Caenorhabditis elegans: one gene and its partners. The protein of the gene in region 1 purifies or fractionates together with the protein of each later gene. This does not show direct contact. Each region holds a gene or a part of one and is shown on either strand. Other genes may lie near its edges.

Region 1 (8,068 bases):
TTTTCTAGAAAGTTCTGGAATATTCCAGAATTTTACCGAATTTTCTAGAAAATTCTGGACCATTCCGGAATTTTCTCGAATTTTCTAGAAACTTCTGGAACATTGCAGACATTTCTCGATTTTTCTAGAAAGTTCTGGAATATTCCAGAGTTTTCCCGAATTTTCTAGAAAATTCTGGACCATTCCGGAATTTTCTCGAATTTTCTAGAAACTTCTGGAACATTGCAGACATTTCTCGATTTTTCTCAGAAATTGGAATTTTCCGCCAAAATTGTTTTTCACTGAAAATTTGAATTTCCCGCCAAAATTTTTTTCACAGAAAATTTTAATTTCCCGCCCAAATTTTTTCACTGAAAATTTGAATTTCCCGCTAAAATTTTTTTCACTGAAAATTTGAATTTCCCGCCAAAATTTTTTTCACTGAAAATTTGAATTTCCCGCCAAAATTTTTTTTCACTGAAAATTTGAATTTCCCGCCAAAATTTTTTTCACTGAAAATTTGAATTTCCCGCCAAAATTTTTTTTTACTGAAAATTTGAATTTCCCGCTAAAATTTTTTTCACTGAAAATTTGAATTTCCCGCCAACATTTTGGGTCTCACCACGATTGGTCTCACCACGAAGGGTCTCACCACGAAAGGTCTCACCACGATTGGTATCACCACGAAGGGTCTCACCACGAAGGGTCTCACCACGATGGGTATCACCACGAAGGGTGCCACGCCCACTATTCTCACTGAAATTTGGGCGTGACGTCACAGACTACAAAGACTACATAGACTACAAACTCCGGACAGACGAACTGTATTTTTTTATATATAGTTAATGATATTATAGAAATTAAACATTTTTGTAAATTTAAATTCTTGAAAATTAAAAATAAAATTCTTCAAAGGTTTCTGACTGAATTTACTGGACATTGAACAAAAAACTTGGAGTTTTGAAAATTCCTAGGGTTGCTGTAGATTTGAGCCTCTAGAATGTTTAGAATAAAACTTGACAACTTACAAATCTTGTTTTCTTTGAACGTCCTCCGCATTTTTAGTTTGAATTCCATCAAGAATTTTATCCAAATCAGGATCTTCGATTTCAATTTTGAAGGATTCCAATTTTGTATCAGCTCCATCCAACCATTTTTTGATATAAGCATTCAGATCGTTGTTAGTTAATTTGGTTTTATCAATCACCAAATTTTGGCAGTTAGTATTCAAAAGATCCTGTCGAGTAAACCACGGTGCAGAACATATTTCAAGATTATCATGATTGAACTCCAATTGAATTGAATTTTGGTTTTCATAGTTGAAAAAGTTTAAAGTAAGTTTTTTCTTGGGAAGAATTTTCACTTTGAATAGATGAAACTCTTTGTCCGTCAAACGAAAGTATGTGATGAATGTCAAATCGTCGACTTGGTTGAGTCTATCCCAAGCAATGAAATTGCAAATATCGTCGGTTTCCTCTCGGCTGATGTAGACATTTAATTGATTCGGTTTGAAAATGTCAAGCATTACTTCTGCAATCTTAATGCAGGCAATTCTGTCGTTGTCACAATATGATTCTATCACGTATTTATCTCGAAGTTGATGACGGCTGAAAAAAAAACCCTGAATAATTTTCCGAACGTAAAACAATCAAATATTTTGACAGATCAAAAAAAAAAGTTATTTCGTAATTGTTTTAGGCCCCCCTTTCTGCCATTGAAACTTGAATGAATAATTAAAGAACTCACCGATTCTTGATTTCCATATTGTCAATCACAAAACTATCGATTTTCCGTTTTGAACCTTTTAGGGGCTTGCTTGACTTGTGAATCTTCCAATAGATGTTCCTTTTCTTTGTGAACTGTACATCTATTAAGCAATAATCCTCATAAATATTTAGCCAAATGAAGTTTATAGGCTTTTTGAACATTTTCACATGATTTCTTGATTTATCGGAGGATAGAGCCAAATTTAATCTACAAAATTTTTAATTATTTGAGCCTGAAAAGAATTCTGAGACTTACAGTGCCATTTCATTTGTTTTTAGAACTGTGTCTTTCAGTGTGACGTACGGGAGATGGAACAGTGGAAATGCGGGCATTTCTGAAAAAAGGGAGTTTGATGGATAGAACACAACGGACAGAAAATAATAAGTAAGAACGACGAGCATGAATAAGAACTGGAAAACCTAACATATAGATCGCCACACCATACTCATAAACGCTTCCAGAGAGATATTTGCTATTGAATAGAGGTCATAAAACGTAGAAAATAAGTCGATTTATCTAAAAACGATGCGTATTCAAACATTTGGTATAGTATACCTATTTGAATTGAGGTGAACTGAAGCAAAAAGATTAAATGAGAGAGTTGATGCAGTTATACAAGAATTTTCTTGTAGGAAAAAAACAGAGAAATAGTATTTTTAATTTTTGAAAGTTAGTTCACGTTTTATTGTTCAAAATTCGAAGACGTTTTGGGGTACAACTACCTTATTTGAACCATAAAAGACCGTTGGGCGTAGAGACAAAATTACTAAAAATTAAGTTCATCCACACACCTTTTTGTAAAAAAAAGAACATGTACCCCTTGCCATCTCTTTCTCCACAGAGCGCCGTTGCTGTATGTTTCTCTGCTGCCTCCTAATTTCTATGTTATTTCAGTGTTTCATGTGGGGAAGGCTAGGGTCACAGTTGCAGTTATGCGCGCGAAAATATATTAATCGAATTGGCTTTTCGAACTGCGAATATTGAAATTCTCAGATTCTGATGGATTAGTTGTATTGTTTTAATTTTCCAAAAATAGATCCAAAATGTTTTATTTGAATGAAAAACTATTTAAAAAAACCAATTTCAAAGTGCATAATTCAAAGTGCTCATAACTGCATGATTTTAAAAATAAATTATTCTCTCTCCCACTCGCGACGGCAAATGACATCTCCAGATTGATAGGTTTGAATGAGTTTTCCGTTTTCAAGCCATGTTGTCAGAACTGAACTTTTGTGATTCTCCTTGATCTTGTTCTGACGATGAGTCAGTTTTCCGTTTTCAAAAGTGAACAGAGAGTTGTAGGTACGATCATCTGGACTGTTCTCAACGAATTCCTGAAACACAAATGTATTTCTCATTTTAAAACGATATACTATTTCAATAGACACATTTGCTTTACACACACTTCTCACTTTCTTATCAGTTGATTTTTAAAAAGATTAACTCTACTCTAGTCCTTTTCAAAATTTTGCAACTAACCTCTCCTAACTTGAAAGACAATTTCGTGTTCTTGAATGTTGAGAATTGATCAAAGTTCCATGTCTCTCCATCCAATCGGATTTCCAATATTGGCTTCAAATGAGCAGCAGCCTTTCTTGTGATGAGCCCGACTCCGATTTCCTTCATGTATTCATCAAAGTTCTCGGTTTGGACCAACTTCCATCGTCCGATAAAGTCATTCATAGATGCCATGGTTCTGGAAAAAATAACTAGAATAAAAAAATATTAAAATAATAAATAGGGCACAAATTCAGAAGCTGATATGTTTCTTAAATAAACATGTGAGAAGCATAGAAGCTGATAAGCTTGGGGTGAAAACGTGGAACGATTATGATAAGAGTTTAATGATTCAACGAGTGACAGAGAACAAAGAAATTAATACAAAAAATGAAGTTCGTTGAAACTTTAAAATAAAACTCGACCATTCTTGCAAACCACAGAAGTCAAGTTTTCACAACGATTGCAAATATCAGAAAGGAAATTTGAAAATGTGATTAAAAACTGAAGTTGCCATAGTGAAATGAAATTTCTTGATTATGCTGTGTGCTACTAGTAAACTGCCAACGAATTCACATTGCTTGTAGAAGAGAACCTGGTGAGTATAATCCTTTTGTCCTTTTCACTCAAACGTTCAATTACCAAAACGATTATAGGTGAATTTCCAAATTTCAAAAGTATTTTACATAAACGGAAATCGTTATATTTGAAAATTAAAAGATGAGATTGGGTATTGTAATTTGAACATATTTCTTGAATAGTCGTGAGTTAAATGTTGCTTTAATAGTATAGAACTAAAAGAGTTAAGCTGCAATTTTTTACAAAAAATAGAAGGGTTGTATTCGAAAATGAAATAAAATTATACCATGAAAATTATGAAATTAAATTGATAAAATGTTCAAAATAATAATCTTCGATAAAATTCGTATTTCTCTCTGAATAAAAAAGTCTTGCCTAATGAAAGTGCCATCGTTTAAATCCATTTAAATAGAGACGAGGTTTTGTGTCAATAACTAATAGTACATATGCATTTTAAAGGAATTTTGTGATTTTTTGTGACAGTAGCCTAGAGAAAAGTCTGAAAGGGTTTACCAAATCACAAAACTAAAATTCAATTCAATTAAAAATTATTGTGATTTACTGAGAGATACTGCAAGCTTGTTGGAGCTGTACCATCATTTTTATATGATATTTCATTTCTAACTCGGAAAACAAAACTACGTTGAAAAATGCCATTCTAAAAAAAGTCATTAACCGCTGCTTGATGAGGTGTGTGATGAACAACTAATGATGGAAGAAATTTGATAAGGGAACAGAAGAATGAAGAGTGTGTAGCGTAAATCAGGAATTGTGGTGTAACGAGATACTGTGTTGATGTCTTGTTCAAAGACAAACGCCATTTGAACAAACCACAATAGAATATTATCAATTTGATCATGTGGCTGATGTTTGGAAAGTACGAACGATTCAAGTCCGAATCAAGTTTGGAACAATAGTTGAATTAACCATGGCAAACTGAAAAATTGGGTTAAATGTTGTTTCCGAATTTAATAAATGCTAAAGTGCTAGTTTTTTGCAAAAATAATAAACTCTCATCAATCTACATAGTGCAGAAAAAAGCCTTCAAAAAATCAAAAGTCTGTAAAAATCCATTTTTTGGCCATTTTACTGGTCTCGAAAAAATTGAAAGTTGCATTAAAACAAACATTTTTTCAGTTCGAAATGCATTAAAATTAAACAATTAAGCTGTAACCGTGTTTATTCTTTCAAAAAACTGATACTGATGCGTTGTTTTCCCGTATTAGTGTGGAACGGTGCCAACATTGTCGGTAAGGAACGGAACTTTAAGATAATCACGAAGCCAAACTTGTTCGTATTGATTGTTACTGGTCCATCCGGCAAGGTAAATGTTGTTGGCTGCTGCATCGGTTTTTAGGAACCTTAAAAAAGATATTCATTGTGGTCGCTAGACTGTTTTTCAAAATTACCTGCTGATATCGCTAACGTGATAGAAAATCACATCGGATCCGAGGAATTTCGGAATTATCAACGAACGAGCCAAACCAAATGCGAGAACGTCAAGGACACTAGCGACAGCGTGAAGGGTTCCAGTGAATCGTGGAGTCGTCGCTGCTTCATCAGTTGTACTCAACTCCCAACTTCTCCATGTGAACCCTGTCAAAATCTTTGGATCCGCCATTTTCACAAGATATGTGTCAATCGGATTGAATCCAGACACAAGAACCTTGGAGTAAAGGTTGTAAGTTCTGATTTGAATGACAAACTGTTTGAGCAAGTTTTCATCAACATTCTTCACATCCCAAATCATCATGATGTTGTTGGCAACACAGTGAGCAACGGCTTCTTCGAAAGTTGGAAGGGAAACATTTGTGCCAATGAATCGGAGTTTACGGAATTCAGTTATATTCATTGCAGAAATTTCTTTGTCAACTCCGGTTACGCGGACTGTAATTTATAATGTTTAGTTTTAATAATCTCCAAACATCTGTACATCGGTGACTGCATTAAAATAATGTGTCAGCTACACCTCACCTGTGTTACTGTCATGACAAATGACTGGAACGCCATCCATGGTAATTTGGATATCCATTTCAGCCAGTTGTCCTCCTTCACTTTTCACTGCACTAAATGCTTCCAGACTGTTTTCCGGAATGTTGTCATGAGCACTTCCTCGATGTCCACCAATCTTCCACGTATCAAAGAATTGAGTTTTGTGAGTTTCGTTGATAAGTTGTGGGATGCGGAAGATGAAAAAAGCAAGCATGATTGCAATGGGAAGGAAGGCAAGAAGAAGGATCAGGAGACGAATGGTCTTGAATTTTAGAGCAAGAAGTGTCAAGAGATAGAAAAAGGCAGCGATGATTACCCAAGCAAGGAAAGTGAGATAGTCCATTTTGGCCTGAAAAACTTAGATTTTAGTCAGTGTATGTAAAGGTTGCAAGTGGAAATCTTTAAAAAATGAACTGTGAAGCTCATAAAATGTTTTTCAATTATATACCGGTTCGCTTCTCTTTGTTATGCATATTATGGGAATCAAAATTGAAAAGAAGAACACCAATAGAACTGTCTGTCACGTATTTCAATCCAGGAAGAAAAAAAGTGATTAAAGATCTTCTTGATATTGAACTTTTTGAACTAATACTTCACTCTAATTGTAAGTAATTTTTTTGCGTTTGCAATCTTTTTATTTGTAGCTTTTTTTGGGAAACCAAATGTTTTCCAAAAGCTCGCTTACATGCTTAATTATTATGATTCGGTATTGAAAATCTGTGAAATATGTTTCCAATTTTCTTTAAGAAGATTTTTTGTTTCTGTATTTGGAACTCACAATTTATGAAGATTATGTGACTCTCGAGTATTAAACCTTGTGAACCTTTTCATAGATTTACAAATTTTGTGAAATTTTTCAAGCATTTTCAGTTTTCAACTGCTTGGTTTACGACCCTTTTACTTTACCCTCAATTTGTATTTTTTCTATCTATGTACCTCACACGGGTATATAATTGTATAAATTGTACTTCCGGATTTCCAACCCAATTTTATACAATCTTATTCGGAACAACCAAATTTCGTTTACCATTTCGTGAACTAATTTTCGAGAATATATTTTCAGTCATAGGTTTCAGTTTTTGTATTCAATTTCTGAATTAATTGTTTTGAAGTGTTTCATGTTGCTCATGTATGCTCAAAACACAAATTTCTTGATTTTAAAGATGTTTGAACTTTTCAGTCACCTTCTTGAGGCAGCTACGTAACAGCTCTTTGTTCGTATTCGTCTTTATCTTTCTATTGTTATTAAAAGCTTGAGAAAAAATGTCTTTGTTAAAAGTCAACTGAACGCGATGAACTTTTTTATTTTTTCTGTCCTAAAAAGAATAACAACTTTGTTTGAAAAAAAAACAGTTTAAAATAAATCAACCAAACTATGAAATGCTTCTCTCAACCGATTTCCCATTCTATCCGAATCTGTGACTTCTGATGAATGATACGAAGTAATATGAACAAGAATTGCTTGATTTCCTCCGAATCGGTAACAGATTCCGTACCCATCTTGTGCTACAGCTCCAAATGAACCACCAAGCATTATCTTGTCAATTGAAGAATCTTCATCAATCGAGTTTGTCATATTGGGAATCTGGAAAAATATCTACATATTTGCGAAAAATAATTCGGAAAACATACATTACTGGTACTCAGAAGCCACTTCTGACTTTGGAAGAAATTGAGGAATGGACTTTCGTATCCAAGTCCTTTTGCAAGAACACATAGTACAAATAGATGACGATCAAATCCATTTCCTAGCATGATTTCTTTACAGTTATTCACATGAACTTCACAAGCTTCTTTCAATAACTTCCTGCGGGAGGCTATCTGAAAATCAAAATTTTATCGAATTGAACATATTTTTGTATACGTACATCAGATTTATCCGAGAGCATGGCTTCAACAAATTCACAAGACGCTTTTGTTACTGGTCTCAAAGTTTCTGTTCTTGAATTTGCGTAGAATCTAATTGAACCTGGTTCATATGTTTGAGTGAACTTTCCTTGATCCTAAAAATGAAGATAAGTTTGTTAATAATCTTTAAAATTAAAGCCTGCTTTGTAATAAGCCAACTGAATTGCCATTTGGACAAATCCATCTGGAGAAATTCCACATTCCTTTAATTTTCCTTTTCCAAAATCCAAAAACACCATGGAATGCATATGAAGATCGTTGAACGATTTTGTGTGAGCTTCATAGCATCTTTCAATTTCTGATTCCATTCCATCAACTATTTCAAAATCAAGTTTTTCTGCCAATT
Region 2 (8,739 bases), on another chromosome or scaffold:
AATATCGTCTGCAAATCTTTTTACATCATTGACCGATCCAGAAAATGGTGTCGATCTGTTCACACCACCACTGACACCCAAACATGCAGCAGTGGCGGTACGTAATTGGTATCAGGGCGGTGTGGCTGATGGCGTATCAAATTTTTAATTGGATTTCGGTATTAGAGAATAGAAAAAAAACGATTAAAAATATAAATAACTAAAACTTCCGTTATTCCACGCAAAAAAAATTCGAGAAATGTTTAATCTTTCGAAAATTTTCTAATTTGTTCAAAAAAATCATTATTTAAAGTTAAATCACAAATTGAATTTTCTTTGATTTCAGGCGTCTTTCAGTGCGATTACGAAGCATAATGAGCCTGAAATGCAGTACTTTGACGCGTTCAAGCCAAGCTCTACAGCGATAGTCTGCATAGAGAAATGGTTGTATTTTCAGTCATATTTTGGAAATCAGCAGTACCAATCCACGTATAGGTAGGTATTTTCGAAACATTAACGAAAGTTCGGTTTCTGGATTTTCGAACACTACAAAAATTTACAATTTCAGGTTAAACATCTCTATTGAGCCGATAAATCAAAATGGGCGATTCAATCATACTTTTGACGCAGACGTCTCGATGTCGACTTCATTTGGAAATCCAAGACCAACAACGACAAGAAGCTCGGCGGGACCCAGAAACATGCAGTACAAGGAGGAGAACGCATGGTTTTCAAAGCAATTTTTAAAAATATGAAAAAATGTGTTTCAATTTTCAGGCTAGCAGATGCTGCAGCTGACGGAGACGATTGGAAGGATCCGTCAATGTCAGAGACGGGTCATAAACCGATTTCAGAGGGCTGCAAGACTACGATCAGCTTGTGGTGTATGAGTCCAGCATTGGTTAGTACAATATAAGTCCTATAATTCTATAAAACTAATACAAAAATTAAATTTCAAGCGTGAAAATCGAAATTTCAGTCTTTCTTCGACGCATTCAACGAAACACGTTCTATAGTCCTCGCATCGGGTACTCTGTGCCCAATGGACACTTTGAAAACCGAATTAGGAATGGAATTCAAGCAACAAGTAGAAGGAGATCAAGTCATTAATAAGGATAACATTTTCGCAGCGGTTTTGCCAATTGTAAGGAAAACATTTGGTTAGGTAGCGTCGTGTGGTGCCCTGAGAATTACCGAACGAATGAAATTTATTTCTTAAAGAGATGACAGGGCACGTGTTGTCAGACAGTCTCATTGCAGGCTGATCTACAAAACATGCGGGAATTTTACCCCAGAAAAATGTGACGTCAACACACTCTTCATCATGCGAAATCAGTTGAAAAGTCTGCGTCTCTTCTCATTTCTCGAAGATCAAACCAAAATGAGGCAGGAATTAGGATTTAAAATTTTTGATGCAAATTTATGTTAATTTACTTAGCATTAATGCTAGCATTGAAAAAGTATGTCATTCGTCCTATAAGTCTCCGGCTAGCATACAAGGTTTATTTTCGAAAATACGGTCTAAAAACTACCAAAATAAAAAGGAAAGCCTTATTAATTTAATTGATTTAAAAATTCCAGGGTCCCTTTGGAAATCGCATTCAGTGCACGTACCGCAACACGTCAGATCCGGAATCTTCATTTTATTGCGAGCTTGGAGCAATTATCAAGTACGTTGGCGGATTATTTTTCGAATTTTCTACTTTCAGAGAGACTTGAAAAAAATGAATAGATTTTCAACAAAAATGTCAAATTTTGTTTAGGTTATTTAAATCAAGACTTGTTTAAAACAAATATAATTTCTGAAAATTCAAATCGGAAAACTTAGTTTTTGTCTAATTTTTTATAAAAAGTTACAAAAGCCTTGAAAAATGTTCCAATTGTTGGAAAATTTTCGAATGTTAAGAAATCAGCTCATTTTTTGCAGGTATGTATGCAGTAACGTGCCAGCAGGAATTCTATGTTTTCTCCCCAGCTATCGAGTTCTAGATCAATTAAAACAATGTATGATCCGTAATTCAACAATGCGACAAATCGAAATGAAAAAAGTTGTGCTCTACGAGCCGCGAAGATCCTCAGAATTAACATCAGTAATGGATCAATTCGATGCGGCGATCTTCGATCCGTCTAGATTCGGTGCAAACATCAACGGATCTCTTATGTTTGCCGTTTTTCGTGGAAAAGTTTCCGAGGGCATTGATTTTGCCGATGATCGTGCGCGTGTGGTGATTTCTGTCGGAATTCCGTATCCAAATGCGATGGATGATCAAGTGAATGCGAAAAAGTTGTATAATGATCAGAATTCCAAGGAAAAGGGGATTTTGACTGGCGATGAGTGGTATACCACGCAGGCCTATCGAGCATTGAATCAGGCTTTGGGAAGGTGAATATATATACAAAGCCGCGTGGAATAAAAACTACGTTTTTTTTATTTAAAAAATGTTATGCTATGCTACAAATGTTCAAAACACAGCAATTTTCTACTGTAACACATAATTCTGAAATTTGCGCAACATTTTTGACGCACAAAATATCTCGTAGCGAAGACTACAGTAATCCTTTAAATGACTACCGTAGTGCTTGTGTCGATTTACGGGCTCGATTTTCGAATTTCCTAATCGAATTTTGACAGCAGTATTTAATTTGTCTTTTTTTTTCTGTATTGTTTTGTCATTTTTGTGTTAAAAAAAAATATTTAAATGAAAAACGTCCAATATTGCCTTATAGGAAACTCATACAATCGTATTTTTACATTATTTTCCGTCTATTGCCGGGTTTCACCTGGAAAACCTGCAATAGACGGGAAATAATGTAAAAATACGTTTGTAAATAGGAGTTTCCTCATCAAAATGAAGGCAATATTACACGTTTTTTTCTATTAAAACAGTTGGTTAATGAATAAAATTTTTTTAAGTACAAAAATGACTAAACAATACGAACAACGAAGGAAAATTGAATATCACTGTCCAAATTCGAAAATAAAATCGAGCCCGTAAATCGGCATAAGCGCTACTTTTAAAGAAATACTGTAATTTTCGCTGCGAGATATTTTGCGAGTCAAATATGTTGTAAAATACGCATTCTCAGGATTTAGTGTTCCCGTAATATCAAATCTATAATATCACGTGAAATAAGGGAATCAGTAGAAAAACCATCTGGCCAAATTTCACTACAATCTAAAATTCATTAAATCTTCAGATGTCTCCGGCACAAAAACGACTGGGGAGCAATGCTAATGATCGATGAACGCCTAGAACGTCAAACTGGAAATCTTGTGGGCGGAGCCTCGTCTGCTCGTGTCTCAAAATGGATTCGTGCTCAACTGAAAAGCTATCCGAGTTTTAAAGAATTTAATGCGAATTTTCGCGAATTCATCCAGCGTCGACACGCTGTTGAGAAAGCAAAAAAAGAGAATTTTTGTGAATGAATTAAACTTTTTCTAACTTTTTTTTTTCGATTAAAACCCCCGCCCCTTATCTTTTTTACGTGTAAAATTTATGATTTTTCCTCATTTTCTTAAACAATTTTTAGACGTCTTTTTTAAAAGTTAGAATCTCCCTAATGCATTGTTTTTACCCCTTTTTTCAAATCGATTTTCATAAAGCTTGGCCGAACTTTTTCTCTCTTCTCTCATTATCACTTATCAGTGTTTACCTTTACACCACTTGTACTTTGAACTGTGAAATGCTGACAACATTATAGCGTTCTCAGTAGCCTACGAGAATTTTTCTAAAACTTGCCTGGAACCAGTTTGAACGCAAAATTTTTCCCTTTCGAGTGTTCAAAATTAATTTTCAAATTTTCATTTTGTTCGAAAAAGGTTTTGGCGTATGACTCTTTCCGAATATCTTTGTGAAATTAAAAAAAAACTTCTCGGATTTAATATTTCAGCTTGAAATCTCGCACCCAAAACTTAACGCGCCAGAGGCAGTCTCATTGGGGCGCACCGTGCTGTGTCGATTTACGGGATTTTTCACCATCTGTCATGTTTTTTCAAAAACTTTTTTTTTGGTTATTATTTGGAAAATTGTTTTTTCCGTGTCAATTGAACATTTTATTATATCCAAATCACAACTCGATGAAAATCCGAATTTTCGAAAAAAAAAACGATAAATTTAAGGCTTTTTTAGTTTAAAAAATTTAAAGATATTCGGAATTAGGGGGTTGGAATAATTCAGTGAATGCGTCTTTGAGTATGAGTTTTTTGAAAAATTACCTATGTACTTGGAAAAAGGCCATCGAAATTAATAATATATTTTTGTTTCAATATTTATAATTTATTTAAAATTGTCTAATTTTTGCAGCCTCTGAAGAAAAAAAATGTTCAAACGAGTATTCAATCTCCGTTTTATTTCGAATTTCTCTCGCCGCCCGACATCTTCTCCAAAACTTCCGAAATTAATTGCAATCACTGGTGGAACCTCGCTTGGAATCGCATTTTTTGGAAAAACTGAAGAGAACAAGAATTTGGACTCAGGAAATGGACAATTAATTGATGGAAAACCGAAAAATTTCGATTTAATTGTTCGAAATTCGGATGAACTTTATGATAATTATCTAATCGATAATTGTTATAATATTTTGAAAAAGTGAATTTTCAATTAACTTTTAGAAATGTCCATTTTAACTTTTCTTTCCAATTTTTAAGATTTGAAAATTCCAATTGCTCCGAGCTTCTATGGCGTCTGGCACGTGTGGTTTGTGAGAAAGGAAAACTCTCAAAAGATCAAAATCAACGAAAAGAGCTCATTTTGGAAGCCTATGGAATTGTGAAAAAAGCTCTTGACAATGAGCCAAAGAATGGATGCTTTGGAGCACATAAATGGTACGATTTGGAGTTAAAACGCTATTTATTCCGGGTAGAACAACACAATTTTGCGAGAAAAAAAAACTATGACTGAGGGTGGAAATCGAAAACTGAGCACCTGCCTTTTTTGGCGGCTGAGTTTTAGCATTTTCTATGCCACATGGCTATCTTTAGGTATGCCATTCTACTGGATTACGTTGGAGAGATCGAGGGAAACAAATCGAGAATCGAAAAATCATTCCAAGTGCGGAAACATTTAGAGAAGGCGTTATCGATTTTCGAGAACGATCCAACAACGTGGCATATTTTGGGTAAGGGATTCCGGATTGAACAGAGAAAAAAAAAGAAAAATCATGTTAGAATTTATTCACGTGGAGTCAGACGGTCCCTTTTCGCTTTGATCTACGAAACATGCGGGAGGTGAGACGTAGACATCTCAACTGATTTCGCATGGTTAACAGTGTGCTTACGTCACAAATTTTCTGGGAAAAAATTCCCGCATTTTTTGTAGATCAAACCGCAATGAGACTTTCTGACACCCCGTGTTTATTCCGAATTAAAGCTCTACAGCTCACCGTTCAATCAACGGGGGCGGGCGGTGCTTAACCATTATTTTTTTTAGATATTTCTGCATTTCGCTTCGAGAATTAAAAAGAAAACCTCAAATTTCAGGAGTCTGGCACTTTTCCTTCGCCAATATGGGTTACGCGACTCGAATGGTGGCCAAAGCTATTTTCGCAACTCCACCAGCATCCACATATCAGGAGGCTCTACACTATTTCCTAAAGGCTGAACAGATTTCGGTAAAAAAATATCAGAATTCAAACACTTTTAGTGAATCTCTCATAGTCAATCAAAAACATACAAAAATGAAAAGTTGTCGACCAAATTTTTTTACACTTTGAACATTTTCCTCCACTTGGGAAGTAAATAGTGCCACGAAAAATTCAGATCATTATAGTTAAATTCAAATTTTCAGCCCGGATTCTACAGTACGAATACCTACTACATTGGCGAAGTGTACGAACAACTAGGACAAAAAGCCGAAGCACTTGATGCATTCAAACAATCATTCAAAATGCCAGTTGTGACTTCTGATGACGCGGTTATTCATAAGAAAGCATACGAGAAACTGAAGAAATATGGAGTCAAGGATACTGAAGTTGTTTAGATTGTGAAAAATATGTATTTGTAAGATGATTGTTGTAATTTTTAACAGAATAAAAATATTTATTTGAATTTAATAATTGTCTAATGTCAGCTAAATAATATTGTCGGAAATGAGGCACCACGGTTTCAAGATCTGGTGAAATTCCGGATCTACGTTTTCCGGAAATACGATTTCCGGATCTACGTTTTCCGAATCTAGCACCGTGCCAACCCACAAAACGCTTTTTTATTCACTCGACGCACGTTGTTTTTTGAAAATTTCTTCTAGAAGAAACGCTTAACAACACGCGACGCTTAACAACGGAGCATCGTTGTCACGTTTTTCTCCGAGAAAAATAGCGTTTTAAGAGTTGGCCAGATCCGGAAAACGTAGATCCGGAAATGGTAGATCCGGAAAACGGAGATCCGGAATTTTACCAGATCTTGATACCGTGGTGCGAGGCACCACGTTTTCAAGATCTGTTCAAAAACAAGATCTACGAAAACAAGATCCACCAAAACAAGATCTACGTTTTCAGGATCTGGCACCGTGCCAACTGCGGTTTTCTCGAAGAAAACGAAACAACGATGCTCCGATGTTACGTTCGCGTGTTGTTTAGCGTTCAAACGAATATTTTTTGAAATTTTCTTCTAGAATTTACGCAACACGCGTACGCACGCGTAGAGAAAACCGCAGTTGGCACGGTGCCAGATCCTGAAAACGTAGATCTTGTTTTGGTAGATCTTGAAAAGGTAGATTTTGTTTTGGTGGATCTTGTTTTCGTAGATCTTGTTTTTGAACAAATCTTGAAAACGTGGTGCCTCCGTGGTGCCTCTCGGAAATTCAATTGTATTGCTTTAAAATTCAAATTCTGCTCCTTCCCTCCATTTTATGATCTGGTGGCCTAGAATTCCACCCAACTCGTCCTCTGGCCGAGCGCGCGAAATCTTGCATTTTAAACTCGATTTCCCATGAAATTAACTTAAATTTGCCATTTTATCTAGTTTTTTCTTTAGTTATTTGATTTTCAGTATTTTCAGACAAGTTCGGTCATCGCCAGCAAGCTCAATGAGCTCCAAGGATGACATTCTTGCACAGGCGGTCGAAAAGTTTGTTTCAAGAATGGAGAAAGTATAAAATCTTCTTTTTTTAGTGATTCAAACTACAAAGAGCGGCTTGCCCTGATCAGATCAAATGATGAGATTGATGCGAAGCTTGGTTTCTCTAGATACACAGGACTACAGGAGAAAAAAGGATTTCTGATAAACATCCAACCTTCGGAGCTTGTCGACGAGCAAACCAAAGTTATTATTTCGGTCGTTGACTATTTCTTCATCAGTGATATGGACGAACGCTTCAAAATCAGTTACCCATTTCGACCGTATTTCTATATTGCCACGTTGGATGGATTTGAATTCCAAGTATCCAGTTATCTGTCCAAGAAGTACGGAGCCCAGACAGCAGTTGAACATATGGATCGGGAGGATTTAGATTTGAAAGATCATCTTTCTGGGTTGAAGAAGACATATATCAAACTCTCATTCACCAGCACCGTGGAATTGATAAAAATCCGTAAGGAATTAATGCCGCTGGTGCGGAAAAACACAGATCGCATCAAAAAAGAGTCGGCGTACGCTGACTATTTGGCGAGGAATCTGAGTGGAAAAGGAGGAGATAGTAAGGATCAACAGTTGAATGGTGACATCTTGAATCAAATTGTTGATATCAGAGAATACGACGTGCCTTTTCACATGAGAGTTTCCATCGATGAAAAGATCTTCGTCGGATTATGGTTGGAATCATCCTTTTCTTCTTTTTTAAATTCTAAATTTATAAATTTCCAGGTACGATGTGAAAGGAATTGGCCCGAACCGTGTTCCAACAATAAAGCGAAAAGATTTGCCCTTGTTCCACGCAAAGCCGAAAGTTCTCGCCTTTGACATTGAAACAACGAAACTTCCGTTGAAATTTCCGGATCGTGAGAGCGATGAAATTATGATGATATCATATATGGTTGATGGACGTGGATTTTTGATTATCAACCGAGAAATCGTGTCGGCTGATATTAATGCGTTCGAATACACACCGAAAGCCGAGTACATAGGAGAATTCACAGTCTGGAATGAGAAGGACGAAGCTGCTCTGATTCGGAAATTTTTCGATCATTTTTTGCAGGTAAATTCTACTTTTAAACTGAATTTGATTAGAATCATTTTCTTGCAGGTTCGTCCAAATATTGTTGTCACCTACAATGGAGATTTCTTCGATTGGCCATTCGTAGAAGCTCGTGCCAAGATCCGCGGATTCAATATGGAAAGGGAAATCGGATTTTCTAAGGATTCCGCCGATGAGTACAAATCACGAAATTGTATTCATATGGACGCTTTCCGATGGGTCAAACGTGACTCATATCTACCGGTTGGAAGTCAGAATCTGAAGGCAGTGACGAAGGCAAAGCTGAGATATGATCCAGTTGAGGTGGAGCCGGAACTGATGTGCAAAATGGCTCGAGAGCAGCCTCAACAGCTGGCCAATTACTCGGTTTCGGATGCAGTGTCCACTTATTATCTCTACATGAAGTATGTTCATCAATTTATCTTCGCTTTGTGCACAATTATCCCACTAGGAGCAGATGACGTGTTGAGAAAAGGATCTGGAACACTTTGTGAAGCTCTTCTGATGGTTGAAGCATTCCATAACAATATTGTGTTCCCGAACAAGTACACTGGACCAGAGGAGACAAGATTCAGTAAAGATGGACATCGTGTTGAGAGCGAGACCTATGTCGGAGGACACGTGGAAG
Region 3 (7,875 bases), on another chromosome or scaffold:
AACCCCCTTGAAAAATAATGTTGTTCAAATATCGATTTTTGTGTGGTATTTCTGAAATTCTGACTATTTTGGGTATTTTAGTACAATCTTCCCACTCACGCAACTATACCTTTCAGTACAATACTGAAACTAGAAATTGTATAATTTTAAGCTAGAACGTGCTACAGTAAAGGATTCTGATGGTAGCCTGGTTACTGTAGACTATCGAATTGCCAAGAGGTGAAAGGTATTAAACGTTTAACTGTACAGTAACATGCTGTGAACTTAGAAAATTAGATATTTGACTTACTGATTTCTTTTTCAACTTCTATTCTTTCTCCTTTGTTGCCTGAAGTGTGTTATTTTTTAGCTGAAGCGAGCAACTGTCCAAAATTCGAAAACTGGCGAGCTGGAACATGCCACGTACCGTATCTCAAAAAGGTTTGTGCTTAAGTTTTTTGGAACGGTTTTGTTTGATTTATTTTGAGTTGAAAGATTAACTAAATCAAGTTGATTATCAAATTTCTTGAATCAAAAATGTTTCAGTGCTTGGTTGAAGGGAGATTTGGATCCAGTTATTGATAGAGTCAACAGAAGAATTGAAGATTTCACCAATTTGAACCAGGCTACTTCAGAGGAGCTTCAGGTAAGCAAGAGCCCTGCAACATGGCTAAGGCCTTTAAGAAGGCACATAAATGCCTGCGTACCTGCCTCATGCCTTTATGATAGGCGTTAGATAGGCAGGCAGGCAGGTACGTGCTTGCCGACTTTGTGTTGAAACGGAAATGCGCACTATAGTTATATATTTTCCTTGTGAAATCCTCTCGGGCAATGAATTTACATTATTTTTTCGAAAGTTGCCAGTTTCTCGTAATTTTGAGAAAATGTAAAATGGGGATTAAATTATTTCATAGACTTTCTTGATAAACTTTTAATTTTCAAAGACAAAACTCGAAGAATTCTTGAAATTCTAAAAATCGAAAAATCGTTTAAAATTTCCATTTTTAGATATTTTCGTTTTTTTACAAAAAATTGAAAATTCCTTGTGTCCATTTTTGAGTTTTCTAGGCTAGTCACATCAGCAAAAAGGTCTAAAATGCCTTCAATGCCTACAGCCTAGAATATAGGCATTAGAGGATTCCCCAAGTTTTACTAAAAATATTAATTAAAGTTTATAATATTTTCAACAAAATTGTTGCTGTTTCAGGTAGCTAACTACGGTCTTGGAGGTCACTACGACCCACATTTCGACTTTGCCCGGGTAATAACAATTTTCAATTCTTTTTTATAATTTCAGATTGCAAATTACGGTCTCGGTGGTCACTATGAACCACATTACGACATGTCACTGGTTGGTTTACTGCCTTCCTGCTGACTTGTCTTGCTGCTAATTTTCAGAGAAAAACTGCCGAATCGTACGGTGGAAATGGTAATCGTATTGCCACTGTGTTATTCTATGTGAGTTTTCGATTCAATTTTAATTTTCCGTATTTTATAGAAAGAAGAGAAGAATGCATTCAAGACGCTCAATACTGGAAACCGAATTGCGACTGTTTTATTCTATGTGAGACATGTTTCATTTATAATTAATGGTTAATAAGATTCCATCACGAACTTTTTATTTGCATGAAAATTCTTTAGCTGTTATTGCATGAGGTGTGCTAATCCAAAAGTATGTGATGGAATCTTAACGTTTGAACTTTTAAATTTGTGATTTTAGCGCGTGGGAGCTGTGAGAAAACGGAAAATTTTTAAGGGGTCTTAAAATTTTACTGTTGATATTTAAAAATGAGGTTTTATAGTTTTTTGGCTCTATCGAACAATTTTTATTATTTAATCTAATAATTATCTTCTTTTTATGATTGTTTAGCTGAAACTGATGTATTTTCTAATGCCTACTTCTGGAAATTCGATAAATTCGAAACTGAAAATAACAATATCAAAATTTACTTTAAACTCAAAGAGCAAAAATCGTTCAAAATATAGTCAAACATTCACTCTCAAGATTTTGATTTTTTTGAAATTTTCAAACTTATTGGGTTCATAATTTTTACAAATAAATAGATGAAAAAATAGTAATATTTGAAAAGTTTACAAACTGATGTTTATATCCTTTTGGTACTGACCTAAATTACGAGAAAAGTGTGTGTGACGTCACATTTTACAGACGCGAAAACCCGACAGTTACTGTAGATCAAACACATTGTCAGATAACTAGAACGAACCCTCTGTTTCTCCTTGAACCAAACAATTTTTTTCAGATGAGTCAACCAGAACGCGGAGGAGCAACCGTCTTCAATCATCTTGGAACTGCTGTATTCCCATCGAAAAATGATGCTCTCTTCTGGTATAATCTTAGAGTAAGTGTTCATTTCTATTTTTCCTCGCAATTTGGAAATATTTCAGAGAGATGGAGAAGGAGATCTTCGTACCCGTCATGCTGCTTGTCCAGTTCTTCTAGGAGTTAAATGGGTCTCAAATAAATGGATTCACGAGAAAGGACAAGAATTCACAAGACCATGTGGATTGGAGGAGGAAGTTCAGGAGAACTTTATTGGAGATTTGTCCCCATATGCCAATGATCCATAGATTTGATTTTTTACTCTCTTTTTTGTTTTTTTTTTTAATTTCATTGTTGCTTACTGGTGTTTCACGGTTCCAATATTTTATTTGATCGCCAAAAAATGAAAGTGTTCTGGTTTTAAAGAATGAGTTTTTGATATTCTGAAATCTAAATTCAAAGCTGTTTATGCCTGCTTCATGCCTGCCTACATCAAACCTACATCAAACCAAGATTATAGTCATGTCTACTTCATGACTATAATCTTGCCTATCTATGTTCCTACCTATTCAAAATATAGTCCAACATTTAAAAATCCTGTGAAAAAATCACGGTTGTGGCTTGGATTAAAAATGATTCGATTCAAATCAGCATAAATATCTCCCTACGTGCCTGCCTGCCAACAACTCTAACAAACATGTAATTGTACCTGATACATACAGTTTTTCCTTGCCATACTTTATTAAGTTAATCAAAAATTATTTCAAAATTATATGGACAAATTAAATATTATTAACTTTAAAAAGACTTTTAATTTTATTATTTTCCTTATTTTCTTCTTCACTTCCTTGCAACGCACTCTTTAAGTCATTCTGGAAATTTGTTTTGTTGAACTCGATCTCGAATTTAAGCAGTTCAATCATTTCGTTTTTCTGAAATTATAGTTTTAAAATTTAATTCCATGTAAGAAATCCGAACCTCTTTAATAATCTTTCTGGCTTGTACCAAATCATCAACCAACTCATTTGCATCTTCCTCCGCAAATTCCAATGATTCCAGTTTTTGGCTCAATTCCTTTATCACCTCGTTTCGCTCTTTCAGTTTTCTCTGAAGTCCACCAATTTTTGCCACAAAATCTCTTTGATGCATTCGAATTTTGATTAAATGATTGCTGATTTTACTTCTCTCTATTTTCATCTCCTTCTGGTGCTCTTTAATCATTTCCTCACTAGACTCGCACATTAATTTTAGTTGGTAATGAGCCTGCAAACGTTGTATATAAAAAAGAATGTCAAGATGCCTGCCTACATGCCTGCCTACCACCTAGCTCTATACATTTTGGCATGCATTCAGGAATTTAGTGAACCTCTAGAAAGTAAAACTGGGAAAATTTCCAAAGAAAATTTAGTTAATTTTCACCAAATTTTCGAAAGTTTTTTTTTTTAAAGTCAAACATTTTCCAATAAAATATTTCGCATTTTTTTCAAAAAAAACACATTTTCCCAAAAAAAATTCGATCCGTTCTACTGTCTATTTTAAAATTTAATAAATCTTCTCAGCTTTAAACACCTCTTAATTTTTTATGAGGGGCTCCAATAAATAGCTTGAGGGGAACACGATTATTGGAATTTACTTTTGAAATTGAGAAATTTTCAGACTCTCGAGAATTTCATTGATAATGCTAATAAAATATTCAAAAATATAAAAAAAAACAACAAAATTTACCTTTGCCTTTTCCTCAACTATTTGCAACATTAACAGAGCTACAGTAACCGCGTACAGTAACCCGAATAGAATCGGGAAATTATCCATTGAAAGTGTCATATTCCCGTCTTGAAAGATATTAGTTAACCACGACATTATAAAATAAAAAGATTGTCTTATAAGATAAGTAACAAACGAATGAATGAGCCGGTCGTCTTAGTCAACGGGTCAAGTGTTTCAGCCGCGTTCGTGAATCAATAAGAGCTGGAATTGCCTCCTGGCATTAGTGACTGTAGTCCACACTTTCTACTGCCTAAATTATCCATACAGGGCAATGTGATCAATTGATCAATAGGTTATTAAATATAACTATTTTATGCAGTGCAGTGTTTCATCCTTTTGGGAAAATTCACGGAATCAACAGGTGAATTTATGTTTTTTAGGGTGTGAACACAAATTGTTAATGTTATAATTGTCCTGGAGAGCCTTTAAACATTTTACAATTAATATATTATAAATAATACGTAGAAAATCAGTATTTGAACAGGAAAGTAGACATTTTAAAAATTTGAAATTTGAAAAACCGCCACAAACTCAAGCAACGACACTCCGAGATTACGAATCGCGCGTTGTTTACCGTAAATTTACACTAATTTTTGTTCTCTGAAATTTTTTTTTAATTGAAAAGCCGTCCATTTATTTATCTTTTTTTGTCAAATCCTTGTGTTTTACGTGGATGTTTGCATTTGTTTTTTATTTATTTAATTTCGAATCACTCAACTTTTTATTGATTTCTGTTCCTCAGGTGATGGCTGCGCGTAAGCTGATCGCACGTATCAACCCAACGAACAGTGCTCTTTTCGTCTGTGATCTTCAAGAGAAGTTCGCGTAAGTTTTGAAAGAAACTAGTTTATGAGCAAAAATAATTTATTTAATTATTTTCAGGTCAAATATCAAATACTTCCCAGAAATCATTACAACTTCGCGTAGATTGATCGATGCTGCCAGAATCCTGAGTATTCCAACCATTGTTACTGAACAATATCCAAAGGGTCTCGGACACACAGTTCCAACTCTCAAAGAAGGTCTCGCCGAGAATACTCCGATCTTTGATAAGACGAAAGTAGATTTTCAGATTTTTGTTCATAATTCAGTCTTATTCCAAAAATTTCAGTTTTCCATGTGCATTCCTCCAACTGAAGACACTTTGAAGAAAGTTCAAAATGTGATCCTTGTCGGAATCGAAGCACACGTATGCGTTCTTCAAACTACATACGATCTTTTGGAACGTGGCTTGAACGTTCATGTCGTGGTGGACGCTGTCAGCAGCCGCAGTCACACTGATCGTCATTTCGCTTTCAAACAGATGGAACAAGCTGGAGCTATCTTGACAACTTCTGAAGCTACCATTCTCGGACTTGTCGGTGGATCGGATCATCCAAAGTTCAAGGAAGTTCAGAAGTTGATCCTTACTTCAGCCCCTGATACTGGCCTCGTCCCGTTGTCGAAGCTCTAAATGTTTTCCGTTTACGGCTTCTTTTTTTGCCATGTAGATTTGTGTTTAGTACCTCACTATGTGTAATTACAGCATTTAACCGGTTTTCGTCCCATAAATTATGGTGGTAATTTGAGTCTTTTTGCAAAACGTTTCTTTCATCGCATCTCCTTGCCACCGTTTGACCATCACATCATGTTTCAAAAGTGTGGGTAAACATTCCGAAATTCGCGGAAACGAAATGCGCTTTGAAAATTTCAAGTGGCTCACACAGTAGAGCCCGCTAGTCCATTGACCTCCAATGTTTGTAGTTTGCGAAAATGATGGTGACGATGGTGCAAAGAAAACTTTCAGTTTTTTTTTTCAGAAAAGTCAGGTTTGTACAACACACATGCCACCACGTGGCAATGAAAAAGGCAGAGGCAACAAATAAATTGGAAGCAGAGACAATAAAATGGGTGGGTGATCTGATCTGTTGTGACGAACAAAATGATGATGATTGGATTCGCGAGCTGTTGATGAAATATGCAGAAATGAATCGAGAAAAAGAGAAGAAAAATACCCAAATATTCAAACAGACAGACGAAAAAAATGTTTTCCTGATTCGAGGAACGTGTTTTCTAAGTGGAACGACGGCAAAATATGGGTTGGTCAGAACGAGAGAATGAAGAAGCACAAAGTGAATATAGTATGGGTGATGTGGAAGGGGGTATGCAAAATTGGAGAGAGAAATGGAACCCGCATCAATGTAATACAAATTGTGTGTGTGGTCAGGAATCATGATGGGAATCTAGTGGGGGAAATGAATTAAAAACTTGGACAAAAAAAACATCTAATCGATCGAAATCTGGAAAAAAGAAAATAACAACTGATCGGGATTGAAGACGAGTAAAAAGGGGTCGAATGATAGGAAGTATCAGGTGAAAGTATATGTTCGAGGTAAAAAAGTCGTTTCTTGTTATAAATTGGGGGAGAACGAGCTAGGATTGCAGGCATTCTAGAAGGCATCTTGAACTTATATAAATACGAAGGAGATTATTTACATCATTATATAAGTCTTTTGAAGACTATTAAAATAAGTTCGTTCAGAAGGCGAGACGTTGATCTGCCAGTCGATTATGTGGTTTGATGCTTCCATAATAGCGGAGTAGGAAGTTCCTTATCTGAAAAAAAAATTATATTTTTCAGAAATGCCAAAAAAACAAACCTGCCGCCGCGAAAACTGTCCTCCAGAATGACACGTTGGACATAAGAAAGGTGCTGGGAACTGCATTTTCGTGAATTGTGGATCTTCTGTCGAGTCACCATGCAACCGATTGTTGACAATATTATGAGCTCTCCAGAGATACGTCATCATATCGTGTGGATGACGAACTCGTCGTTCATTCAATGGGAACAGTGTCGTCGTCATATGCATGAAATGATTACGACAGTGTTCACATCCGAAATAGCTCTTCACCCATCCCTGAATTGTGCTCAGTGGTTTCATTGGATTCACATAGTCATCTTTGATTGTATCAATATATGTGTGAACAGTAAGAGCGTGGAACGTTGTCCATAGACCACATGTGTATCCACGATACATTGGAGATGATCCTTTACAGTGTTGCCATGTCGAATTGACTGGGAATGGGCTGGCGTAGACACGTTCCACACTTTCGAATTGTCGACGATATTCATCAGATGAGACAGAACCAATTGATTTGCGACCTTCGAGGAATTCGCGCATGTGTGTGAACACAAGACGAGCTCTCTCAGAATTACGAAGAATCTGAAAAATATTTAAATTTATTCTTGGAAATTATTTTCAATCAAAAGTTTACTCACCACAGACGTTGTTCTCTTCGCGCGCATTCTTCTGATGTCATTTTGGAAGGAAAGAACCGGGAAGTGCTGAAAAATGTCGAGATAAAATATTTTTTGTAAATTTTTATAGCATCCAAAGCCAGGGTGTTGGTTTTTCGATTTTTCACGAAAATAGGAATTTTCGTTTTTTCCAATATTTCGAAAAAATTTCGATTTTTCTGAAAATTGGAAAAATTATATCTTATGTTTTTTCTGATCAAAATAAACGAAATTCGATAAACTTTTTATTGTTTTGTTGAAAAAACTTTTTTTCAGAGAAAATCCTCAAACTATTAATAATTGAAAATTAAAAAATTTCGATTTTTCTGAAAATTGGGAAATCTGAAATTTTCGATTTTATGTTCAATTTTTGGATTTTCTTTGAAAACTATTAAAAAAATGTCGTTTTTCGATTTTTTTCTTTTAAAAAACCCGAAAAAAAAATCTCGATCTTGTCTAAATCTGTCTTCATCTAAAAAAATACGTACATTTGATAAAAGAGTCATAAACTCGTGCAAATTGGTGAAGTTATCGCCTCGGATTGCTCCTGGAACTCGGGTGACCTCGTCGA
Region 4 (8,675 bases), on another chromosome or scaffold:
TTTTAACACATTCAAATGATGTTTGGAACATTTTTAGTTGTTGATATTTTAAAACCGTTTTTCCGTCTTACAGTCTTCGAGCTTCCAGTAAACACGAAAATTTTAAAAAAATCGTGAGCTTAAATTTCAGTGTATGAAAATATAGCTACAGGTTTTAAGATGGCGCATCTCATGAAAAAATTGAAAAATATTGAATTTCAGTAACTTGGAAATATTCTGTCTCCTTAAAAATAAATTTAAATTCACATGTTTTAATTATTTTTTAAATAACGAGCACACTCATTTCCAAGTAAAAATCGTTCTTATTTTAAACAAATTCAAAGGGGCGGAAACCGGAAATTAAATGGTAGAAAAACTTAAAAAAGATTCGGAAATTACAGTTACAGTTTCAAGTAATCTTGTTGGCTCTAACAATCCTACGGGTCTATTTCTCAATGGAAAATAGTCTTGCCAGATCCATATTTACCTTGATTTCTGATATTATTCAAATGATCAAAACAGCAAAACAAAATTAAAATCTGACAAGTGTCAGTAGTCAATCAGTGGACAATAATATTTTCTTAATGTTCTCTATGTTGTCTATGGTTCCATGAACCAGCAACAATTTAAAATTGCAATAAATAGTGTGTTATGAAAATTTGATTAAATTCTGCCCGATATATTTAGGGTAGCAAAAAAGAAATAATAACATATGTGGTCAGTGAAAGTTCTAAATGGGTAATTTCTGGGATGTACTGACTACTAGAAGAAAGCGGGTGATTTTTCAATACAGGAAAACAGAATGCACATTGTGCTTTATGTTTAATGTCATGGAGAAAAAAGTAAAATATTTACAATCAGATATTCTAAAGAAGTGAATTCAATCTATAATATACTGAATGGTTTTTTCTAGCCCCTTTCTTTTTAATTCATTATACCTAGATCAATTTCCGGAGTGAATGTTTTTCACTGTATATCAGAGTTTTTGAAGTGACTATAAAAATAGTTGCGCTTGTGATAAACATATTTTTGAAGACGGTGAAACCAATGTGGTATCTGAATCTACTAACAGATTCCAATTGAAAATCAGAAAGATTAATCAAATCTTGTTTTGGGAAAGTCTCTTTTATACGTAGTATGCCACCTTCACAACAAAGAAAGTTGAGAATTCCTCATCATGGGTTTTATTGGAATTCAAGAAAATATTTTTCGAAGTCTTCTTGAGACTTGTACAATAAACAGATCAATAAAAAATTGCCCAATCTAAAATTTTAGTGACATCAATTTATGAATTTTTTTCTACTCATATTAACTGGGTATGTTTTCTGAATTATCAGTTTGCTTTCAAATTTTCTAAATTTTGTAAAAATTGATGTTTGGATAAGACAACTTACGTGGGAAAACATTCAGAAACTATGAAAAGTTTTGTCTTGAATGACGGGCTTGGGAATTTACCTGGTACATTTGAGTTATCTGATAGTGAGAACAAGTGTAGCTAAAAACTTTGTTGATGAATCATTATGTTTTTTTTTGTAAAACAGCTAACGTAAAATTGAACTAACAAAAGCAGAGACAATTAAAGCGTATCAGGTAATTACTTTTGATCAACACTAAAATATTTACAATAAAATGCAAATAAAAAAGTTTGAAAATGAAATTATTTGGCTAATGTACTTAAATTATTTAACTAAAACAGTTTGAGGCTTCATTATAAAAAACCTTTTTTTCAATTTTGTTTCGAATTTGAGATTTTATTGATAGAGTGAGAATACAATATACTATTGCATTGTTGGTAGCCATTGAAAAATCTGATTCATGAAACATTGCGAGTTTGAAAAGTACCTAAAATACGTTCAGGATTAATAAAATAAATGTTGTCTAAGTTGTTAATTGTCATAAAATATGGAAACAATATGTACGTTTAACGCGTGGTTTCGTGATTTGAAAAAAAAACATCTGCAATTTTGTAATCATCTTGAACTAGTTCTTATTCTGCATTCCTGCAAAACAGGGTCAAAAACTAATACTTCGGTTTTTCATCTAACTCTAGCAATTTGAGTTAATTTTGATGCAGCTGAGGTGCTAACCCCCAACTTAACAGACTTTGCCCATCTTCAGCAATTTTTGCGATTGGCAACTTCAAAGTTGCTAAAGTTGGTAGAGAAATTACCGCAAAGCACAAAATTTTATACTACAAGAGTACATTTTGAATACCACATCACTACGGTAAGAAAATTCAATCTTTGAAAAATACCTAAATTTGATCTCAATCAAAAATACAAATATTCAAAGATTTCATAGAGGCACATTAAACGTGATTGGGTCACAAATGAGACGTGTATCAAAATTGCTACCACTTTTCTACTAAAAAAAAACCAAACAAAAAGGGAAAGCTCACCTTTCACGATGAGATATTTTATCAGTAAGAATCTTTCATATACAGTTGATGGGGTATAGACACGTTTTTTTTTTAAATTTTACACTTTCCAAAGTTTATGGTTGGTTGAACTTTTCACTTTGACATCTAATAAGTGTAAAACAGAACGCCTGGGGTTTTGCACAAAATTCGTATTTATGTACCGATGTTTATTCATGTATGATTCATGTATGATGTATGATTCTGAATCCGATGAGACATAGCTCAATTTTGTCGAAGACGGTAAAAAACCCGTAGGCTACAACATTTAAAAGAAGGATTTAGTTTTTGAGCTGCCGAAACTTCACAAATTAGCTGGAACATCAATTCAGAAATACACAGAAAAACTACTTACCATCTCCAATATCGAAGGTGCTCATTAATGTAGCTTCAATATTCGACACAAATCACGCTGGGAAACCAAGAATTCCAATTTTCCGGCTGTTGAACTTTTTGTTGATCTCCTAGCAGATGTTTTAACTGGAAAATTGCCTATAAACATTTGTTGTATACTTGTTACAAATCACACAAACTGAAAAAAAAACCAGAAGTTTCCACGCACTTGTAATATGAATATTGAAATCAATTGTTTTTTAATGCATCAAGAAACTTTTTTAGCAGCTTGCACACAAATAAATGAAATTCAAATTTAAAAGAAAAGCTGATCGTAAATAAAATGAAGTAAATAAATATAAAAATACTTTTTATTGTTGAGCGCTATTTTTTCTTAGATTGATTTTTTGATCTTACTCGAGCGACATTGAAATGTTCATACTTTTAAGCTAAAAGGATTATTACCCGTTTGTGCGATTTCTGGTCAGATCAGATAAACCAGACAAAGTTTTACTTGTCACAAAATGATAGATGATAAAACTTTAAAAAAAAATAATGAAACGCTTAAAAATAAAAAAATAAAAATCACACGCGCAAACTATTTGGTGATAGCAAATCGAAACATACAAACAAGCAAAATTAGTAATTGTGCTTAGATGCTGCTGGGTTCAGCTGCAATTTTAAATTCAGCAGAACGAACAAAATCTATTTCTGTAATGCCAATCAAATATTCTTAAAGCATTAAAATATCCGTACAATCACCCATATAGTCAATCTTTTCTTAATTCCAGAGTTTTTTTAAATTTTTTTTTTTAAGTTTTTTTTTTAATTTGACATCCGCGCACTTCTTTTTGAAATGTCTAGTTCCACTGTTATAGAATGACTTCACATTAACACCAAGAATCGGCTCTGCTCACTAGACCAGAAATAACTGCGTCAAAGAAACATAACATGAAGGTGGCAAAACACCTGCTTCAATACTTGAAACGTTTCTTGAGGAAGTTCGAAAATGGTTTCTTGAAAAGAGTAATTATTTTCCAATAGGTAAAATATTTGAATAAAATTTTTAAATAGCAATTTGGAATCCATTTCAAAAAGACAACTGTTAATATCGACTTCAACCTGAAAATGGAGAAATTAATTACACTTGAAAATGCTTTAAAATCATCATATATCATAGAATATTGAAATCAAACATGCTTTATATTATATTAAAGAGCGTAATATTGCAAATATTATTTGCAGTTAAAAGGAGTTATCAAGGCCATGCATCGCTGAAAATCTAGCGTATTACAAGTATTACAAGTACAGGAGAACAGATTGAAAATAAAAAGTACAAGCGTTTAACGGGAAAAGATCAAAATGAAATTATTCTTCGGAACTGTAATCTTTTCGGCAAGACGGAGGTTCGAACTGTTTGCAAGCTGAAAATTCAATATGTTATAAACTATGAATTTATATTTAAATTCTCGAAAAAAATTCTGACTAAGCGTTCAGTTTCATGGTAATAAAACCGAGATTAACTTTAAAAAAAAATCTCCTTACCCTCTCCAGATATTTGATATCCTTGAGGCCATGTTCCGGATCTTCAGCTTTCAGATTTGTATGAAATGCGATGTTTGATTGTGGTGAAATGTGTCCATCCTCTGCATATGGTCCATAAGTCATGAGGATTCCGTTCGTCTCGTGAAGAAGCAAGTCGGCAGACTGTAAAAAAGGTTAAATTAGTTCAGAAGTGTTTGAATTTGATGTGATAAAATTTGTTTTTATTTCAAAATTATTTGCAACTTGAAGAAAAAATTCAGTCCCATTGAAATTTATCCTACTATTTTTGAAATTCGTATTTCACCTTTGACATTTATCAAAAAAAAAAACTTACTTGAAAAAGGCCTTTAACTGCAGCCGTGGAGCAAATGTGAATCATGTTGATATTGAGAACAATGTCGACCTGAAAAAAAACGAAGTTATTTTCCAATATAGTCTGGAAACAATTTACCATATGAGGTCCGAAATCCGCAGGAAGAGCCCATTGATTGAATGGTTTTGCAACGTCGATGAAGAGGGGGATGCGGACGTTTGGAAACTGAAAAATATTACTTTATGGTTACAAAAACATAAAGTTGAGTTTTCATAAAAAGTTGTAAAAAAAGAGAAATCAAAAATTAGTTTAGAATTATTGTTCACCCCAACAGTCTGGAGTGTGGTTTTTTGTTAAAACATTCTGTCAATTGCTGGCAATTAAAATTTTTTAAAGGTTTTTCAACAGGAGTGTGGAAAAATGCAGTCATTTTAATTCAAGTATTATCTCTTTTTTGCTATTGTGAAAAGTGGAAATTTGGGCAGGGCAACTAACTGCTGACTAACCTGACTTTGATCCAAATAAGAAACGATGGAATGGAGGTATCGACCATTAACTTCAGTCGGTTGAAAAGTGACATCCGGCAGAGCCCGTGCAAAATGTTCCATATGCTGTCCAGTTCCAGAAGCTAGCTCGAACACCTGAAAAAAAAAAATATATATATATCGTTAATGTTTTCATTTTAAAAAAATGTGAAACACATTTTTTAAAAACTTACTTTCTTTCCAGATGTTGCGAATCTTCTCAACACCTCCAAAATCACATCCTTGTTCGATTCGGCAGCTGGCGCTCTCAACATCACCAATCGCTGCAACTACGTTCAATTGTTATTTGATTCAAAATGTGAAACAGTCAGTGGTAAAAGAGAAAGGTACGCGCGCGCACTTTTTATAGGGTTTATAACAGTTTGAGATAGATGCTAACCAGAATGAAGAGACTGGTAAGAGAGAAAACAAAAAAAAACAACAGAAGATTGGAATACCAGAAATCGATAGTTGTTGTTTGTGTGGGAAAAAAGGAGGAATGGCAAGTGTTATGCATGGGAAGAAGAGCGAACGAACGGCAAAAAGTTAAGTACAGTGTAAATGCGCAAAAGGCAGATTAAAAGAGGAATAGCAAAAAAAAACGGTTAAAAGAGAGAAAAAAGAAACTAAAAAGAGATTTTGTTTACAAAACTGTGAAAAAAATGAGAGTGCAAAAGTTACACGTGTCCTGCCAGCCAAAGCGAGCTGCAAGCCTTGCCACGTATAAGGCCAGAGAAAGTAGGGCATCAATGTTTTGTTTTGTTTTTCGTGAAATTTTTGTTTTTCTTAATAATTTTCAACTTTTAGAAGTATTTTAAAAGGTTTCAAATATTAAATGGAAACTAATTCAGCTGAAAATTTTAGTAATAAGACAAAAATTAAAAGAGCGCGTTTTCTGCGAGTTTTTTTAGATCTTGCTTTTTTATATACTTTAATTTGAACCTAAATATTTTTATCAATTTCCTAGAAAAATCAAATCTCGACATTATATAGTAAAACAAAACTCAAAACGAATATATAAAATTTCAAAAGAAAAAATCAAATTCATCTGAAATCAGCACTCGCAGAACGCTGAAATTAATTTGTTCTAATTATAAACTTATTAGGCATATTTCTATTTTTACTTCTTGTTTTTTAATCGATTTAGGCACATGTTAAGCCGGTTGGCATACTATAGGTGGTACATATTTGGTTGTTTGAGGCCATTTTTGTTATACCACAGTATTAACCCATAAATGTTACTTTGCGGTAAATGTATCACGCTTTAGATTTTTTTACTACTGAAAATGCATGACGAAAACCAATCTACAAAAAGTGTACCAAAGTTTATTGTTTCATCAACATGAATGACTGGATAATAGATTTGCTTGGGAATTGGAGATTTGACAAAACAAAACAATAACTTAGAAGTGGAATGAGCTGTGTGAAAAAAAAACCGGGTTGGAGTCTAATAGTTTTTGAGATGAACAAGAATTAGTGACAACAAATATTACAAAAAACTGTTATAAAAAACTATAGAAAAATTGTTATATAGAAAATTTTAGGGAATGTAAGAAATAAATAATTTTCTCATAAAAGTAGATTAGTTGGTTTCATTTTCGCTAAGAATCATGTTAATTAGTCTCGTGAAAAACGTATTCGGTTATTTCTCCATGTGGCATTTGTGATGAGTTGAGCTCACTGATAAACTCCAAATACCCCTTTCGGAAGGAAGTCTTCGGCCGATGACGTCTACCAAAGGGTGTTTGGAAGATGGTGAATTGTTTCAGAATTACCCATCTACCAACTTCTCGGTGTCCATTATCCCAATCACGAAGAGCTTTTCGGAATGTGTCGATATTGTTGAGAGCACAATTGATGTTGACAAAATGCTTCGCAGAAAAGAGCCGTTCTCCGTGATCCCTGTTGAGAGTGTCGCGGATGGATATGGTTTTGATCTGAAAATTTGTATTGCTTCTACATAACACTTGTTTATTTTAAATTTATTTTTAAATTAAAATGTAGAGTATTTTCAGTAGGGAAATTATTTAAATCAGCTCATGAAGTACTAAATTGCCTTGATGTAATTGTAAAAAATTATTTTTAAAAACTTGAAAGTTTGCAATTATGGTCAAAAAAATTGGAAGTCGGCCAAAAAAAATCTATACTTTTAAAATTGAATTGCGTCTCAGTTATTGCATTTAAAACTTTTAGGGGATATTGGAATTTTTATTAACTTATTGCATGATCCTACTTTTTTGGAACGCTCTTTAAACCATAACACGAAAAATTCAAATTTTCTCAAATTCTAAGTACAACTCACATCTGGGAACGGAATGAAGTCGTCAGTTAGTGCGTTCACTTCAATCTCCACAACTTCTTTGTCAAACATTTCCACCATCATTTTCAAATTCTCCGTGTACTCGAAACCCTTGACAATGATTCTTTTAAATGTTCTGGATCCAACGAAGTTGTGCACAGCTTCACAGTATTCCGGTTCGAAATCATCAGTGGTGACAATTTTTAAAATAGTTGTGTTACGCAGCAGCTGGGTTTTCTTCTTCTCGTTGACTTCGGATTGATTCAAGCATTTTTCAGAGTCTGGATCGCTTTCATTTTCTTGTTGATTTTTCTCCAATATCCATCGGACATTCATCTCGCCACTGGAGAAGTCAAGAATCAAAATGACATCTGGGAGCACCATTTTCAGACTATTCTGTCGGTAAATGTTATTGGCAGCACTGCACGTGATTGCTAGACTTTGAGCGTCTTTGTAAGCCGACTGAAAATTTTTTTTAATCTTAGGAATCATCCGGTTGGAAGTGCATCTGCTCAAAAAGTGTTTAACGTTGTTTTTTTGAAAAGGAGAGATTCAGATTTTTTTATTTTTAGAAGTATTTTCCCAGAATTGAAAACTTACTCGTTGCATGATCTGCTCTATCATCTCCGGAGGAAGTTTTAAGAGATCGAACAATTTCACATCATCTTGCTCGATGTGCTTGGTTTCCACATTTTTACTTTTCGGCCGGAAGAAGTTGTCACGAGAGATCAGATGAGAGAACACATTCATTTTTGTAAGCCTAAGATGCTCTGCCATCGTAAAGTCGCAGAGATGAATAGCATCAGTGAGAAATGTGAATCCACCAACTCTCAACGCACTGCTGCATTTTTCCGTTAGAGTTTCACCTTGAAGTTGCTCAATTAGGCACCTATAACGTGTGGGCCCGTTGAATATTGAACGGATTTCTTCAACGGTCCATGTATTGAGAAGGATCTCCATGTCCTCCTTCATACGGTTCATTTCATTGTTGACACGATCTTTTGCATCGGGGAAGAATGGAACGGCCCGAAACAATTCCAGGATGTCTAGGTCGGCCATGTTCTTTTTCTGAAAAATTGAATGTTAGAACATATTGAACGCTCGTTAATAGTAAAGAAAAGTTTATTGGAAGTACATATATTTGCATGTAAGTGGGATTTCTACGTGTTTCATTCTAGTTCACTCTCAGTAATTTTTAAAATAAATGTAGAGGGATATATGTGTATGTACTATGTGTATTGTTTAAGACTAAACTGGAACTTTCTT

What was found.
Region 2: the proteins of lbp-7 (region 1) and F33H2.6 fractionate together in Caenorhabditis elegans (co-fractionation; one large-scale study listed by BioGRID). This does not show direct contact.
Region 3: the proteins of lbp-7 (region 1) and marb-1 fractionate together in Caenorhabditis elegans (co-fractionation; one large-scale study listed by BioGRID). This does not show direct contact.
Region 4: the proteins of lbp-7 (region 1) and Y26E6A.3 fractionate together in Caenorhabditis elegans (co-fractionation; one large-scale study listed by BioGRID). This does not show direct contact.

What each region holds. Positions count from the first base shown.
Region 1 is NC_003283.11:13,874,926-13,882,993, reverse strand, and holds lbp-7 (Fatty acid-binding protein homolog 7), read right to left. Parts: upstream 3,443-8,068; 5' UTR 3,439-3,442; coding exon 3,226-3,438; intron 3,081-3,225; coding exon 2,880-3,080; 3' UTR 2,781-2,879; downstream 1-2,780. Other genes in the region: T22G5.3 (F-box associated domain-containing protein), read right to left, coding at 1,008-1,586, 1,726-1,953, 2,002-2,078; T22G5.1 (GP-PDE domain-containing protein), read right to left, coding at 5,045-5,183, 5,232-5,709, 5,797-6,157; cpt-5 (Choline/carnitine acyltransferase domain-containing protein), read right to left, coding at 7,169-7,399, 7,447-7,635, 7,683-7,817, 7,866-8,068.
Region 2 is NC_003279.8:15,012,140-15,020,878, reverse strand, and holds F33H2.6 (Regulator of microtubule dynamics protein 1), read left to right. Parts: upstream 1-4,283; 5' UTR 4,284-4,299; coding exon 4,300-4,568; intron 4,569-4,627; coding exon 4,628-4,804; intron 4,805-4,960; coding exon 4,961-5,097; intron 5,098-5,458; coding exon 5,459-5,589; intron 5,590-5,765; coding exon 5,766-5,957; 3' UTR 5,958-6,025; downstream 6,026-8,739. Other genes in the region: dog-1 (Helicase ATP-binding domain-containing protein), read left to right, coding at 1-97, 326-474, 548-706, 757-880, 959-1,123, 1,561-1,649, 1,907-2,362, 3,178-3,406; pole-1 (DNA polymerase epsilon catalytic subunit), read left to right, coding at 7,005-7,045, 7,090-7,728, 7,781-8,111, 8,160-8,739.
Region 3 is NC_003282.8:12,205,905-12,213,779, reverse strand, and holds marb-1 (Isochorismatase domain-containing protein 1), read left to right. Parts: upstream 1-4,769; 5' UTR 4,770-4,772; coding exon 4,773-4,852; intron 4,853-4,909; coding exon 4,910-5,087; intron 5,088-5,138; coding exon 5,139-5,480; 3' UTR 5,481-5,592; downstream 5,593-7,875. Other genes in the region: phy-2 (Prolyl 4-hydroxylase subunit alpha-2), read left to right, coding at 350-420, 526-625, 1,187-1,240, 1,478-1,543, 2,241-2,339, 2,386-2,568; F35G2.3 (uncharacterized protein), read right to left, coding at 3,043-3,192, 3,239-3,523, 3,986-4,072; F35G2.1 (Sulfhydryl oxidase), read right to left, coding at 6,545-6,622, 6,667-7,230, 7,287-7,352, 7,793-7,875.
Region 4 is NC_003284.9:13,904,502-13,913,176, forward strand, and holds Y26E6A.3 (Methyltransferase-like 26), read right to left. Parts: upstream 5,450-8,675; 5' UTR 5,386-5,449; coding exon 5,305-5,385; intron 5,228-5,304; coding exon 5,093-5,227; intron 4,812-5,092; coding exon 4,725-4,811; intron 4,677-4,724; coding exon 4,608-4,676; intron 4,436-4,607; coding exon 4,274-4,435; intron 4,153-4,273; coding exon 4,072-4,152; 3' UTR 3,870-4,071; downstream 1-3,869. Other genes in the region: Y26E6A.2 (F-box domain-containing protein), read right to left, coding at 6,724-7,047, 7,413-7,871, 8,010-8,468.